3 linked regions of the Xenopus tropicalis genome follow. The protein of the gene in region 1 purifies or fractionates together with the protein of each later gene. This does not show direct contact. Links are inferred from orthologs where the notes say so. Each region holds a gene or a part of one and is shown in the gene's direction. Other genes may lie near its edges.

The links. Proteins that work in one complex are often made in the same cells at the same time.
Region 2: the proteins of sae1 (region 1) and sumo2 purify together in Homo sapiens (affinity purification with mass spectrometry; 3 studies listed by BioGRID and IntAct, with this or other methods). This does not show direct contact. The link is inferred for Xenopus tropicalis from reciprocal best matches to the Homo sapiens genes SAE1 and SUMO2.
Region 3: the proteins of sae1 (region 1) and sumo3 purify together in Homo sapiens (affinity purification with mass spectrometry; 3 studies listed by BioGRID and IntAct, with this or other methods). This does not show direct contact. The link is inferred for Xenopus tropicalis from reciprocal best matches to the Homo sapiens genes SAE1 and SUMO3.

Annotation. Positions count from the first base shown.
Region 1 is NC_030684.2:77,092,716-77,097,833, reverse strand, and holds the start of sae1 (SUMO-activating enzyme subunit 1), read left to right. Parts: upstream 1-2,029; 5' UTR 2,030-2,033; coding exon 2,034-2,125; intron 2,126-3,536; coding exon 3,537-3,648; intron 3,649-5,118. UniProt on the Homo sapiens protein: The heterodimer acts as an E1 ligase for SUMO1, SUMO2, SUMO3, and probably SUMO4. It mediates ATP-dependent activation of SUMO proteins followed by formation of a thioester bond between a SUMO protein and a conserved active site cysteine residue on UBA2/SAE2.
Region 2 is NC_030686.2:44,410,834-44,415,836, forward strand, and holds the start of sumo2 (small ubiquitin-related modifier 2 precursor), read left to right. Parts: upstream 1-1,567; 5' UTR 1,568-1,577; coding exon 1,578-1,598; intron 1,599-2,308; exon of another isoform or gene 2,309-2,545; intron 2,546-2,892; exon of another isoform or gene 2,893-3,750; intron 3,751-4,352; coding exon 4,353-4,484; intron 4,485-4,567; coding exon 4,568-4,639; intron 4,640-5,003. UniProt on the Homo sapiens protein: Ubiquitin-like protein that can be covalently attached to proteins as a monomer or as a lysine-linked polymer.
Region 3 is NC_030685.2:55,089,292-55,094,412, forward strand, and holds the start of sumo3 (small ubiquitin-related modifier 3), read left to right. Parts: upstream 1-1,685; 5' UTR 1,686-1,707; coding exon 1,708-1,728; intron 1,729-5,121. UniProt on the Homo sapiens protein: Ubiquitin-like protein which can be covalently attached to target lysines either as a monomer or as a lysine-linked polymer. Does not seem to be involved in protein degradation and may function as an antagonist of ubiquitin in the degradation process.

The DNA of each region.
Region 1 (5,118 bases):
GGTGAACAGGTTGATTATAACAGGACAATAAAGATAAAGGCATAAAGGGTTTATTTTCTATCCTTCCCATGTGGTAGATGGGATTATCCCTTTAGTTGTCCACGGCCGTGTAAGGAACTGGAAATATGGCTCCACTGCACTCTGAAAGTACTACACCAGGCATAACCATTTTTTAAAGAGGTGCACTATCCTATGGTGAAAGGTTAGAAACTTTTAATATGGGGGATGCCTAAATATTTGGCACATCCTGATAATTTTGACTCTTGATCTTTAACTATTATTCTGTGTACTTTCATTAGTAGTAAGAGGTACCCATCACAGTTGGGTATGTATTCAAAGCAAAATGGGTCTCATTTATAAAAACTGGAGTAACTTCCAATTTAGCAATCCCAGCTATTTCAGTATTTTTTTTATTTGTGCCTTTTACCTTTTTTTGTAATTCACTCTGTCTGGGGGCTTAAAATTCATCACTTTAAGGGTCTAAAAAACCCATATATGCACATATGTATGTATGTTTTTTTGTACTTATGCTCTGCTTATGACCCTTATCTTTTTTCTGTTTATATTTTTTTTTAAAGTTTTTTTATTTTGTTTCTGTTTATATTTTTAACTGGTTTTATAGTGCAACAGATAACTGCATCTGAAATCTGTGGACAAAAACATCAAAGTACCACAGATTTAAGATCTGCAGCATCCTAAGCAATGAGTGGAGGGGGACACAAGTAGCCCCTTGGGAATCACTCAACCCAGAGGTCCCTGACAACAGCAAATGCAAAATATTCTACATCTCAAATACTTTGATAATCCATATTAAAAGAACAGTAACACCAAAAAAATGTATTTATTTTAAAGGAATTAGACTATAATGCTGCCCTGCACTGGTAAAAGTTTTGTGTTTGCTTCAGAAACATTACTAGAGTTTATATAAACCCTGGTGTGTAGCCATGGGGGCAGCCATTCAAAAGAAGAATAGGCACAGCTTATATAGCAGCTAACAGATAAACCCTGTAGAATACAATGGTGTCTTATCTGTTATCTGCTATGTAACCTGTTCCTTTTCTCCAGCTTGAATGGCTGCCCCCATGGCTACACAGCAGCTTATTTATATAAACTATAGTAGTGTTCCTGAAGCAAATACCCCAGTTTTACCATTGCAGGGCCACAGTACGTTATGTTTCCAATACTTTAAAACACTTTCATTTTTTGGTGTTACTGTTCCTTTAATCATGAACATACTAAAGACAGAATTGATTAATGCACATTATGTGGCCCTGTTCTATGAATAATTTAGGCTGTGCAAGTGCACATTTTGGTTACAAGGTTCTGATTATAAAATTGCCAGGCCACCATACCACTTCAAGGTGAATTCCATATGGTGGTCCCAAATTTTTACCTCTAGTCCAGTGGTTCTCAACCTGGGGGTCAAACAACCCTTTCACAGGGGTCACCTATTTCATCATCACAACATGAAGAACTGTATTAAAGGGAAGGTTGAGAATCACTGCACTAGTCATACTTTTCATAGGCCAGCACCACTATACATGGATCCATTTATTGTAAAAAAAAATCTCCTGACCAAAGCATTGATCCCACAGGCTGATCCTCCCCTGCTGTGGCTTTTATTGGTGAGAGATCTCCAAGGCCAACACCCATTTAAAAAAAAAAAAAAAAAAAAAAAACACAAAGGAACACTTCAGTATTTGTATGCGCGATATATGCACCCTTTTACTGTACAGCACTATAGACTATTGCGGCTTTACAATTTAGTGTTGGTAAACTAAAAAATACCCCAACAGAATGACTTCAACACAGAGAGCACAGAGCACACTGACAGCGCCAAGAGCAAAAACATCACTACCCTCGGAAGTAAAATGCTTCAACTCCAGGCCGGAAAAGGAGGGCGCTTAATGGTCACGTGTCAGTCCGTCCTTAGATGACGCTTTAGGTTCTTCCCCTTTTTCTCCTCGCTTTCACTTCGGTCTCCATTCATTCGGTGTGGGAACAACCGGCTTTTGTAGGGAGAGATTAGCAGAATGGTGGAGAAGGAGGAGGCAGTGATCAGTGAGGAAGAGGCGGCGCAGTATGACCGGCAGATCCGCTTGTGGGGGCTGGAGGCACAGAAGAGGTAATGATGATGATAATACATTAGGGGAGGCCTGGCGCGGACAGCCATTTGTTTAATGAAAACAAGCATAACATTTAGAGCATGGGATGGCATGTTGGCTATCTGTATCTAGCATTGTTATGCCTATTACCATTGGGGAGAACGGCTTCCCACCCTTTTCAACGTTTGACACCTGTGTTTTACACTCGCTGAGCCTCGCAGCACATATTATGTTAATCACATAGACTTTCTGCTTACGTTCTAATGTGGAGAACATATAGACATGCAGAAGTTTTGATTTTGTGTAATACAAGGTAAGGCTCAATACCTGGGGGGGTGAGTTGGTGTGCACAAAAAAAAGAGAAGAGCCCAACATATATAGTACAGGGGAAAGCTGCCTGATATGCGTGAGGTTGCCACTTGGCCATTAGAAATGGTGCATGATGCCAGTATTATTACAAGGGAAAAAAGTAAGTATCTAGCCTGGAGTGCAGCACACGTGGATTAAGAACTGTCTGGCATGGACAGTATAGGGAGTATTGAGCACCATGGCATGTGCAGAGAGCAAATTTGCTTATAATTCACTATGCACTGGGAAGTTGAAGATCTGGTATTAGATATTGCCATGTACAAGAATCAGTTCTAGCTACTAGGCACAATCTTATTTTCTTTAACAAAGGGCGACACAATGTTTGTCACCATAATCTGGCCATTAATAGATGAGAGTAGGCTTGACAGTGATACCATTAAATGCAGATGTTTTCTTAAGCTAAATACACCAACTTTTAAACTTATATTGACTACTTCAATCAGGGATCCCCAACCTTTCTTGCTCGTGAGCCGCAGTCAAATGTAAAAAGACTTGGAGAGCAACACAAGCATCATAAGTTCATGGAGGTGCCAAATAAGGGCTAAGATTGGCTATTAGGCAGCCTCTATGCACGCTGTCAGCTTACAGGGGGCTTTATTTGGTAGGAAATCCTGTTTCTATTCAACCAAAACTTGCCACCAAGTCAGGAATTTAAAAATAACTACCTGGTTTGGGGGCACTGAGCAACATCCAAGGGGTTGGTGAGCAACTGGTTGGGGATCACTGACTTAAATGCACAGTTTACCATGACAAAACCTGTTCTCAAACAGTGTACCACAAATTTGGTTTTTTTTTTTCTAATTGCTTAAAATGTATTTTTTTTCAGTTTTTATAAAATGTCAGTTTTAGAGTAATAGTTGTGCTTACCCTCACACCATTTCTTAGTATGAGTTTAGTAAACCAGTTTATTGATTAACACAGCAACTTGATGCATTCTGTAAGTGGATGCACTGACTCCTTATGAGTTAAGGGGCCTAAACAAGGGTTTAAGCCTAAAAACAACTGCATTTAAGGGGTTGAATAGCTATCATATAGTATGTGTGTTTCCAATTCTTTTTCTAGGCTGCGCACTTCCAGAGTTCTCTTGGTGGGCATGCGAGGACTTGGGGCTGAAGTTGCCAAAAACTTAATCTTGGCTGGAGTGAAGGCATTAACATTGCTGGACCATGAGCAGGTTAGGACATTATTTAAACCATTTTCAAAGCTACAATAATGTTTTTGCTTATTTAAAGAGGACATTAAGCTATATTATCATCATACTCACTAATGGATGCATTAAATTAATACATATATATACCAAACAAGGCATTAAGAAACAAACCCTGGTTGCTGAACTAAACAGCAAGACAGATATATGATTATCACATTGTCCTTGGCCCCTGGAGAGATCTTGACCCAGAGGCCACCCTTTCCCCAGCTTTCTTTGTTGCCTAGGGTCAGGGGAAAGTCACAAGTACTGAATGAGCTTTATAAACTGATTTAATGCTTGCACACCTGGAAATTCTAAAGATCTGTGGCAAAGGGATTAAGCATAACTTTTAGATACATGGAAAAAAAATGTAGGGATAAAATCTAGCATTTGTATTGCACTACTCTTCTTTCTAACTGCTTGCAGAATGAAATGGCTGGTAATGTTCCTCATAGATTACACCTGGTAATATCTTGATTTTGTAATAATTTAGCTCGGATATAATTTGCCCAGATATAGGATTAAAGACACAGTGCACAGTGCCTCTGTTAAAACCTTGATTTAGATTTTTAGAGCTCCTATTTCACATTTGCTAGCATGCAAATGATGTCTTGTGCATATTCAAATCAGTAGAATGCCCTTGCCCATCTGCCTTGTCCGCAACATTGCAGCCCAGTCAAAATGTATATGAAGTAGATCGCCATTGAATCCAAGAGTCCAGTTTGGTATTAAAGATGGCAGTGAGGTTAGAAAAAATAAAATAAAAACAAGAAAACCATCAGGTACCTTTGCTACATGCTACTAGATTTGCAAGCGTATGTGAGAATCAAACCTAGGAATGCAGAACTTAAAAACCTTTTTATGGAGCATCTACTCTTGATTTACTGGTGCTGTCCATTAATGTTAATACATCCTAAAGATAATGCCACACACAGCATTTTCACTGCAGCTGTACTCAGGCCCAGTGTCTGCCAATAGCCAGCCTGACTGCCTTTCTAAAGGGTCCATTCTGACCAATGAGCAGCATTTCTACACTAATGAGCAAATACCACTTTGGATTCCTTAAAGGGGCAATGTCAACAACATGAGTTTGATAAAACAGGAATTGTGCTTAACAGAACGTTTTCCTATTTTAGTTTAAACAAGACCCTGTTTGGTCTTTGCTAGGTAGCTAATTAGATTACCATATTCCCCTGCATAATGAACCTCCTTGTTTACTGGTAATATGCAGAGAAACAGTGTCACTGCACAGAATGGCTCAAGAAGAACACTGTTGTTGTTTAGTTTTTTTTTTAATATTGCTTCTACTATTGTATTTTCTTTGTTTTTAGTTGTAAAGCGAGATAAAAGTATAAAGTCCTTAGTTGGATATAGGCTATGCAGCCACTAGAGGGCATTCCTGCTAGAGATTTCTTACGAGCATGTATAGGATCAGACTTGCGTCTTCAACCTATT
Region 2 (5,003 bases), on another chromosome or scaffold:
TTGCCCATATACCCGCCGGTTTAATTTGTAGGGGGGCATATCAGGAGTCACGATCCGCACATTTGGCAACCCTGCCATATGGCCACCTTTAGGATGGGTGTTGGGTGCAGACTGCACTAACATAGAGAGTAGACCAACTTTGAACCACATGGTGTTTTCTTTTGTTTCAAGTTATGTTTGGATCAGAAGAATGGCTGCTGATCTCATATAATACTTATGACTCATTTATTTTGATATGCAATTTACTCTCCCCTTTATTTAAAATATTTGCTGTGGTTTCTCCCTTTTGCTTGTGACATTTGTATTGTCATCCCTTTGTTGTTTACAGATCTCCACCTTACAAGCAAACTCCAAATGAAAGAAAATAAATGCCCTTATAACCATGTCCCAATATGCACTGCTTGTACCCTAGGCAATTTTGGGTGGGTTTTAGGCCTTTTCATTTTTGGGGGGGTAACTATGAGGAGCAGAAGGCTGTCAGTGTTATTAACAGTAAATAGGGAAGAAAGACAGTAAATCCCAGTGTTGGAATGAGGTGTGTGGGGTCCACCACCTCAACAGACGGTTTTTCTCCTATCGTTCCGCTCGTCCAGTCCCACCCTGGGAAATGGCTGTATTTTATGTCCCTAAAAGGGCAGCCACCTTCCATGATTTTTATGTTTTGTCTGGAAACTTTGGATATGGTTTGGATATGATTTTTATGTTTTGTCTGGTAACTTTGGATATGGTTTGGATATGATTTTTATGTTTTGTCTGGTAACTTTGGATATGGTTTGGATATGATTTTTATGTTTTGTCTGGTAACTTTGGATATGGTTTGGATATGATTTTTATGTTTTGTCTGGTAGCTTTGGATATGGTTAGCTTCTCTATGTTTTTGGTATGTATAACTTTATTTATAAAGCGCCACAAGGATACGCAGCACTGTACAATCTTACAATATACACAATTACCCACAGGTAGGGCAAGTGTTATAATAAATTTCAATAAATAAGTATAAATACACAGGGAGTAAGTGCCATGGGGTATGAGACACAGTAGGAAGGAGGTCCCTGCCCCGTAGAGCTTACAATCTAAGTGGTTGGGTAACATACAGGCACAAACTGGAAGGTAAGAGGCACCAGGTATGGGCATTTGCCCTTAAGTGCAGGACTGATCAAAATAAAGTTTTAGTGAAAAGGTAACTGGTATGGCAACTGGTATGGCTTCCTCCTTTGGCTTAATTATAGGGGGGGCTGTTTCTGGAAGCTTCTATCATGGCTCCTGCCCCCTCTATGAGACTAGGCCAATGAAGTCACTGGAAGGGATTTAGCCAATCCCGGGTACAATGCGGCCCAACCTCACCCTGACTCTCCTCAGAGTCAGACCCCTCCCCCCATGCGCGCCCCCGCCGCCACGTGCTCCCCAAGGCGGGCTTTTCCCTACAGTGGAAATAGCGGCGGGGGCGCGCACGCAGAGAGTGCGCCAAATCTTCCTTTCCGTACGTGCGCGCTCTCGTTCCACGTCCCGCGCCAGTTCAGGCTCTTTGTGAGGAGGAGGCAGCAGCGAGAGTACCGGGCACCGGGAGCGAACTGACAATGGCGGACGATAAGCCCAAGGTCCTGCTCCGGGCTGGGAGAGGGAAGGGTCGCATAGCGGGCTTGGGGCCGGGGGCAGTGGGTGCGGGGCAGGAGGAGGGAGAGGCCTAGGCGCTAAAGGGAGGGGGCAGCGGCCTGCGGGCTGTGCGGGGGCTCTGTGGGTACGGGAGGGGCCCGTAGGGAGACAGCCGGGAGAGGGACGCCCATACTAGCGGGGCTTGGTTATGGGAGGCTGCACTGCATTGGCCCACTAGGTTTATGGGGAAGGGAGCACAGGAACCAGGGAGCACTGGGGAAGGGAGCACTGGGGAAGGGAGCACTGGGGAAGGGAGCACTGGGGAAGGGAGCACAGGGGAAGGGAGCACTGGGGAAGGGAGCACAGGGGAAGGGAGCACTGGGGAAGGGAGCACAGGAACCAGGGAGCACTGGGGAAGGGAGCACTGGGGAAGGGAGCACAGGGGAAGGGAGCACAGGGGAAGGGAGCACAGGGGAAGGGAGCACAGGGGAAGGGAGCACAGGGGAAGGGAGCACAGGGGAAGGGAGCACAGGGGAAGGGAGCACAGGGGAAGGGAGCACTGGGGAAGGGAGCACTGGGGAAGGGAGCACTGGGGAAGGGAGCACTGGGGAAGGGAGCACTGGGGAAGGGAGCACTGGGGAAGGGAGCACTGGGGAAGGGAGCACTGGGGAAGGGAGCACTGGGGAAGGGAGCACTGGGGAAGGGAGCACAGGAACCAGGGAGCACAGGAACCAGGGAGCACTGGGGAAGGGAGCACAGGAGCCAGGGAGCACTGGGGAAGGGAGGACAGGAACCAGGGAGCACTGGGGAAGGGTATGTTGGGCACTGCCAGTATTGGGAGATGGGAAGTAAATGGGAATGGGCGACCTTGGCTATACTGGGAATAGGGATATTAGGGGGGCCTGAGCCCAGGTATGTTGTGGGGGAATATACTGGGGCTGGGAATTGGGAGGTTAGGGGGCCCTGAGCCCAGGTATGTTGGGGGGGGAATATACTGGGCCTGGGAATTGGCAGTTTAGGGGGCTCTGAGCCTAGGTATGTTGGGGACATATACTGGGGCTGGGAATAGGGAGGTTAGGGGGCCCTGAGCCCAGGTATGTTGGGGGGGAATATACTGGGGCTGGGAATTGGCAGCTTAGAGGGCCCTGAGCCCAGGTATGTTGGGGGCATATACTGGGAATTGGGAGCTTAGGGGGCCCTGAGCCCAGGTATGTTGGGGGCATATACTGGGGCTGTGAATTGGGAGCTTAGGGGGCCCTGAGCCCAGGTATGTTGGGGGCATATACTGGGAATTGGGAGCTTAGGGGGCCCTGAGCCCAGGTATGTTGGGGGCATATACTGGGAATTGGGAGCTTAGGGGGCCCTGAGCCCAGGTATGTTGGGGGCATATACTGGGAATTGGGAGCTTAGGGGGCCCTGAGCCCAGGTATGTTGGGGGCATATACTGGGGCTGTGAATTGGGAGCTTAGGGGGCCCTGAGCCCAGGTATGTTGGGGGCATATACTGGGGCTGTGAATTGGGAGCTTAGGGGGCCCTGAGCCCAGGTATGTTGGGGGCATATACTGGGGCTGGGAATTGGGAGCTTAGGGGGCCCTGAGCCCAGGTATGTTGGGGGCATATACTGGGGCTGGGAATTGGGAGCTTAGGGGGCCCTGAGCCCAGGTATGTTGGGGGCATTGACTTTAGGGAATGAGGTAACTTGGGGAGAGAGGAATTCAAGAATGTTGAGTGGGAAAAGATGTAGCCTCTGGCCAGTGAGAAGGGCAAGTATTATGGGAGAGCTTAATGGTGGGAAAATGGGTATGCAGGGCTCAGTGCCATTAAATAGAGTTAATACTGGCCAGAAGCCTAGGTTATGTTGGGGGCATTCCATGCAGAGTAAGGGGCATAAGGGTGAAGACACACTGAGCTACTAGCAGCAACTAATTTTTTACAGCTACAAAACACCAGAAAATCCCCTGCCTTAGACAGTATGGAGCGTTGCGAAAACAGAGAATTATCAGTAACTGATTGGCATTGAATATTTTAGTAGCTGTGACAAGTAGCTGCTACTACTGTGTGTCTTCGACCTAAGGAAGGAGAATTCTTAGTATGGAAGGAATTTTAGAATTGAGGAAGTAGTGTAGGTAATGGAGGAACACGTGTTAGAAGCAGGAAGGGTAAGGTGCATTAGGCACAGTGGAAAGAAAGTTCTGAGAACTTTTAAACTTGTATTAAGTCTTTAGATTCAGGGTCTGTGACACTGTGAAGCAGTACCATGTTATTCTGCATACTGGCCCTCAATGTGATATTGCTCTCTTAATCACTGGGACCTGTTAATTGGGGACCTAGAGACACAGGCAAGCGTACTGTAAGGCTAATATATACGATGAGGTTAGGGGCTAGACCAGCTTTTGTGAGTGTAGTTGTAAGTTAAATGCCTGTGCAGTCAGTAAACATTCCAGAACTGTAGCTCCCAGCAGTGACTGTTGTTCTAAAGGGAACATTTGGTGTATTTTGTGTAATGACATGCAGCCTTATAACTTCTGTGCTCCCCATCTTTCTTCTTGTGCGTTGTGAACACATTACCAAATGTAGCATGGTCCCCGGCCAGATCTAATATAACTAGAGTTCTTTTGTCATTTGGTGCCAAAGTATTCTCTAGAATGGGGTGCAAAGAGCTCATTTCTCACAACGGGATGAATAACCACAAGCGTTACCAGTGTTTCTGTGCCATGATGCCCCTTCCCAGCACTCATTCCACTTTTTACTTCTTTTAGGAAGGTGTTAAGACCGAGAACAACGACCACATCAACCTGAAAGTGGCTGGCCAGGATGGCTCAGTGGTGCAATTCAAGATCAAGCGGCACACACCGCTCAACAAACTGATGAAGGCATATTGTGAGCGTCAGGTAACCAGATCAGATTTGGGTACAGAAATACTGGGTATAAGCCTGGCAATACAGTTTTACTTATCATATATTTTCTCCTCCAGGGTTTGTCAATGAGGCAGATCAGATTCCGGTTTGATGGGCAGCCAATCAATGAAACGGACACGCCAGCACAGGTGAGATGAACATATACAGTGACAAGCAGCCCCTAAAACCGGCTAGATCTGGCCACTAACAATATTACATCGCTAATGTATATTAAAAAAATTGTATATAGATATTTTTAATTTTGGTTTTATTTTTTGCATGTTTGCTACCTATCACTTAGTTGTTGCCAAGTAAAATGTGTTTTTCTTTAACCGTTAATTGCTCAAGCCAATAGGAGTAACCCATGGCTCTTCTTGTTTTATGCTTATGAAAGCTAAAACCCTGACACTTTTACATATTGCAAAGGGCTGCTGGGTGATTTTACGCGTTCCCTCTCATGCAGTGAGTGTTTACCCTGTTCAGACCAGCAGTGATCCTGTGCCTTCTTTATAA
Region 3 (5,121 bases), on another chromosome or scaffold:
GGGCTGATTCATCAAAGTACGTGTTCGAATCCCGAAATGGGTAAAATTCGGATTAGATACGATAATTTCTGATGATAGAAAATGTCACGAAAAATGCTTACGTAAAAATCGTAATAGTCACAATAATATCGTATTGCCAATCCGAAAGTCACCAAATTTTAGTATCCGAAGGATCGTAAACGATGGGAAAACCTTTCTGACTTTGATCCTTCTGTGCATGTTTTTTTGAAGCCTCCCATAAGACTCAATGGCACTCTGCAGCTCCAACCTGGCCCAAGGAAAGTCTCCCATAGGGCTCAATGGCACTCTGCAGCTCCAACCTGGCCCAAGGAAAGTCTCCCATTGGGCTCAATGGCACTCTGCAGCTCCAACCCGGCCCAAGGAAAGTCTCCCATAGGGCTCAATGGCACTCTGCAGCTCCAACCTGGCCCAAGGAAAGTCTCCCATAGGGCTCAATGGCACTCTGCAGCTCCAACCCGGCCCAAGGGAAGTCTCCCATAGGGCTCAATGGCACTCTGCAGCTCCAACCTGGCCCAAGGAAAGCCTCCCATAGGGCTCAATGGCACTCTGCAGCTCCAACCTGGCCCAAGGAAAGTCACGATACTGAAGCTGATGAATCCGAAACATTCATACTTGTTGCGACAAATACGATTTTGTTGTGCAAATTGTCAAAGTATGAAAAAGTTGTGCATATTAATAAAAAAGTCGCAAAAAAACGCACAGTAAGAAAACTTAGAAAAAATATGAATTATTTGTATTCGGAAACAATTGTACTTTGATAAATGTGCCCCATAGTGTTGATGGGGCCACTTTATCTACCTGTATGTTCTTATTATTAGAGGAAAGTGGAGTATCTGGAGAAAACCCACTGAGAGAAGTTACAAACTGAGCAAGATGACTGGAATCAAACCTAGGACTAGGGTTTTCACATTTACTGGATTTAAAATACTTCCCATACTTTTATCTTTGAGCCCTACTGATAACATTGGAATCAAGCATAATTTTCATGAGTCAGCTGTCAACCCTACATAGGTTTCCAGCGGCATTTGGATCACTAATACACTAAACTTGCAATGTTGCATTACCATGTGAAAATGTGCACCCTGAACGCTTGGCTACTGTCTTTATTGACATGAAAGTTGCACCAAGTGGTGCATGCAGTCATCTCTTTGCTATAATGACCCAATGATAACACTTCTGGCACTGCATGCAATTGTGAGAGGAAATGCTGCTCCACACAGTCCCGCAGTTCCAGTCACAGAGCTTCATTCTGTCCATGTTCTGGGAGAGTCACGTGTTTCACACCCAGGAGCCTGGGCTGAAGGTTACACGTTATACAGCGCACAAGCGCTTATTTATTGAAGGGGTGGGAAACTAATTGCAATACTATGTCCCCTTTCTCTGCATCTTCCTTCTTGTTACATTGCGCTCAGCTTCCCTCCCTTCCCCCACACTAGTGTCTGAGCGCGCTCCCGTCACCAACTCACCGCGTTAATGGAATAGTTGGAACTGGGCGGGGTTGCGCGTAGGGGGATGGGAACCATGGTCGCGCGCATCGTGAACGCGCATTAAGGTCACGTGACCCCCCTTTCGCCTATCGCACCGCGTTATAATGTTGGGGGTGAAGCGCGCCCCCGCGAATAAGCGTTAGAGAGGAAAAAACCTTCACAGACAGAAAAAGAGCGGGAGAGCTAGAAAAGGGCAATCATGTCTGAAGAGAAACCCAAGGTAAGCGAGATAGCGGCTTTTCCCTATCGGGGCTAGGGCGGAACGAGCAAGGAAAGGGTCAGTCGGGCCCTACGCGCAGAGGCCGGGCTGTGGGCACGGACATCAGGCAGAGACATTGGAGCCGGGCTGGTGTAAGCGTGCTGGCCTCTCCGGGGATGCCTGCTGCCTGGGCTCACTTAATAACGCCTCTCAAGAGTACGATTGCTTCTTGTTTTAGAAATACAGTACGTGGGCCTGTCGCTTTGGCTTGTGGTACCGACCCAAAGGGCAGGCCCGGTGCGTTATACCGTCATGTTGGTGTGACTGACACGGTGCTCCGTCCGGCGCTGAGCTGCCGCCATGTTGGGCCGAGCTGCGAGTTGGTTGCAAATCCCATGGCCCAGGGGACACACGTGTTACAGTGCGGCTCCATTTCCTCATGTCTCCCCGTGTGTCTCTGTACTGCCCACAGACATTAGCGTTCCCATTATTCCCCTTGGCACCAACCTCACCATATTGTGTGTCCCATTGCTCGGGGGGAGGGAACCTGACAATTGTGTTTCTGCAACTTCCGAAGCCTTGCATTGGGCTGCTAGTGACATACCCTACACAAGTCATATGGGGAAAGCACCAGGATACACCTATACCGATGGAAATACTACCTAATAATACCTTAATAGCATTGTGCGTGCTGCCAGCTAGGTTCATTTGATAAAAACCGCCTTAAAGGAGACCTCATGCGAAATAGAATGTAGCAGCACATTATACTCCTCCCCCAAACCCACTAGCCCCGCCCATCTGTTCCACTTCCTACTGCCTCCTTTCCCAGGCTGTGCAGGGGGGCCTGTAGCACACAGCACTGTAGGGTAGGAACCAATCAGCAGCTAGACTGACCTGATAGGGAACTGAAGCCTGTTGCTTGTGTGAGTGCAGGACTGTGATTGGCTCTCCCCTCTCCTGCTGTGCTTCTGGCGGGGTCCTTTAGGACACTCCCACCCCTCATTTGAAACACAGACAAGGACCTTGGAGGATTTATAGGGAGCACCATTTTTTACAGACAGTATTATGTTTTAGCTCAAAGTAAATCCAGCCCCATATATAATTCATAATTGCCTACAAGATTAGAAGTGTTTTCCTTTATCCAATATGTCTCCTTTAAAATATTCAGTTTGGTATTGCCTTAAAGGAGACATATCCTATAAAAATTAAGAATGTACCAGTGAATTATACTCCTCTAGATATAGAAGGATTGTGCTTAAAAAGTTGTGTTTCAGACTGATTTATTGAGAAATTCCACAAAACCCCACTAGCCCCGCCCATCTGTTCCACTTCCTGCTGGCTGAATTCTCTGGATGAGCTGGGGAGCCGGCGGCCCTCAGTACCCTGCACTGTAGGATAGGAACCAATCAGCAGCTAGGCTGACCTGATAGGGAATTGAAGCCTGTCTTTGCTTGTGTGAGTGCAGGGCTGTGATTGGCTATCCCCCTCCTACTGTGCTTCTGGCAGGGACCGTTAGGACACGCCCACTCTTCATTTCACACACCGACAGAGAAGCAATGGGATCTATAGGGAGCTCCAATAAAGGGGCCATTGTTACAGATAGGATTCATATTTAGCACAAAGGGAAACCAGCACTGTATATTATTCATAATTGCCTACAGGGTTAGGGTTTTCCCATTTATCTAATGTCTCCTTTAACTGTAATCCAGAGTCTCATCTAGAGCTCTTACTTTACATTTTATATCATGTTATTGGAAGCCAGCAGTATTCACACTAGCGACCGACTGGTGGTCCTGACCACTTTGCAGATCGCCACAGTACAATATGGGGTCAAGTAATATGGGCAGACCTGGCAGCTACTAACTGTTCTACTCAGCTCTGTGCTTTTGGAGCTGGTACAGGGAATACAAGTAAGGTGCTGTTGGGGGGGCAGATATCACGGGCAGATAAAATTTTCCATTCCAGACTTGAGAGCTGAAACATTTAAGTGACCCAGAGGCTTAATGGCTGAAGTCAGGCTGTTTTTGTCTCTATGGGTAGTCTATTAAGTCTTTGTAGGAGCAGTGCTGGCGTTGTCACTGTATATACTGCAGTACAAAATGTTCATCTTGGAGTGGTCATGATCAGATACTTACATAGACCTTGATAGATATCCCTGTCTCCTTCCCTGCCCTGCCTGTGTGTGTACGTGCCATATAGCTGTGCTATCCATTTCTTTCACATATGGGTTATGGGTGATATTGCTTCAGTAAACAGTGTGTTTGCCTGCGGTGCCAGTAGGTTTCATTTAGGCCCAGTTGGGTTGGGCACTTGATGGGGGGTACTTTCATTTGTTGTGGGTGAATTAACGCAAACCAGGCAAACTAAAATAGCTTAAGCATGTTCTGCCTCTAATTTTATGTAGTAATTAATATGTATTAGGCAGAGCTGGGAAGGACTTGTAGACCATGTGATTGCTTGTAAGGGCCAGTAATTGTATTGTGGAGCATAGCAGAAGCCACTGTAGGGAATGGCACAGTGGCATGGCAAGGATAAGTGTTTAGAACATGCATGAGCCCAGCAGCTGCTTTTTATTATGGAATAAAGTGGTGACAGTCTCTGGAGGGGATGGCAGTAGTCAATATATGCCCTGATATTTTTTGTTTATGTATATCAGAGGGCTATTAGTTGCTCTGCAAGCATGTGCGGAACCTTGTGTAACACTTTGGGGCACATTCATCAAAGTCCGAATACAAAAAATTAGTATTTTTTTTAAGTTTTAGAACTGTGCGTATTTTTTGCGATTTTTCGTTAATTTACGCAACATTTTTGTACAACTTGCGCGACAAAATCGTATTTGTCCCAACGAGTACAAAAGTTTCGGATTCATTCAAGCTTCAGTATCATGACTTTCCTTGGGCCAGGTTGGAGCTGCAGAGTGCCATTGAGCCCTATGGGAGACTTTCCTTGGGCCGGGTTGGAGCTGCAGAGTGCCATTGAGCCCTATGGGAGACTTTCCTTGGGCCAGGTTGGAGCTGCAGAGTGCCATTGAGCCCTATGGGAGACTTTCCTTGGGCCGGGTTGGAGCTGCAGAGTGCCATTGAGCCCTATGGGAGACTTTCCTTGGGCCAGGTTGGAGCTGCAGAGTGCCATTGAGTCCTATGGGAGACTTTCCTTGGGCCGGGTTGGAGCTGCAGAGTGCCATTGAGCCCTATGGGAGACTTTCCTTGGGCCAGGTTGGAGCTGCAGAGTGCCATTGAGCCCTATGGGAGACTTTCCTTGGGCCAGGTTGGAGCTGCAGAGTGCCATTGAGCCCTATGGGAGACTTTCCTTGGGCCAGGTTGGAGCTGCAGAGTGCCATTGAGCCCTATGGGAGACTTTCCTTGGGCCGGGTTGGAGCTGCAGAGTGCCATTGAGCCCTATGGGAGACTTTCC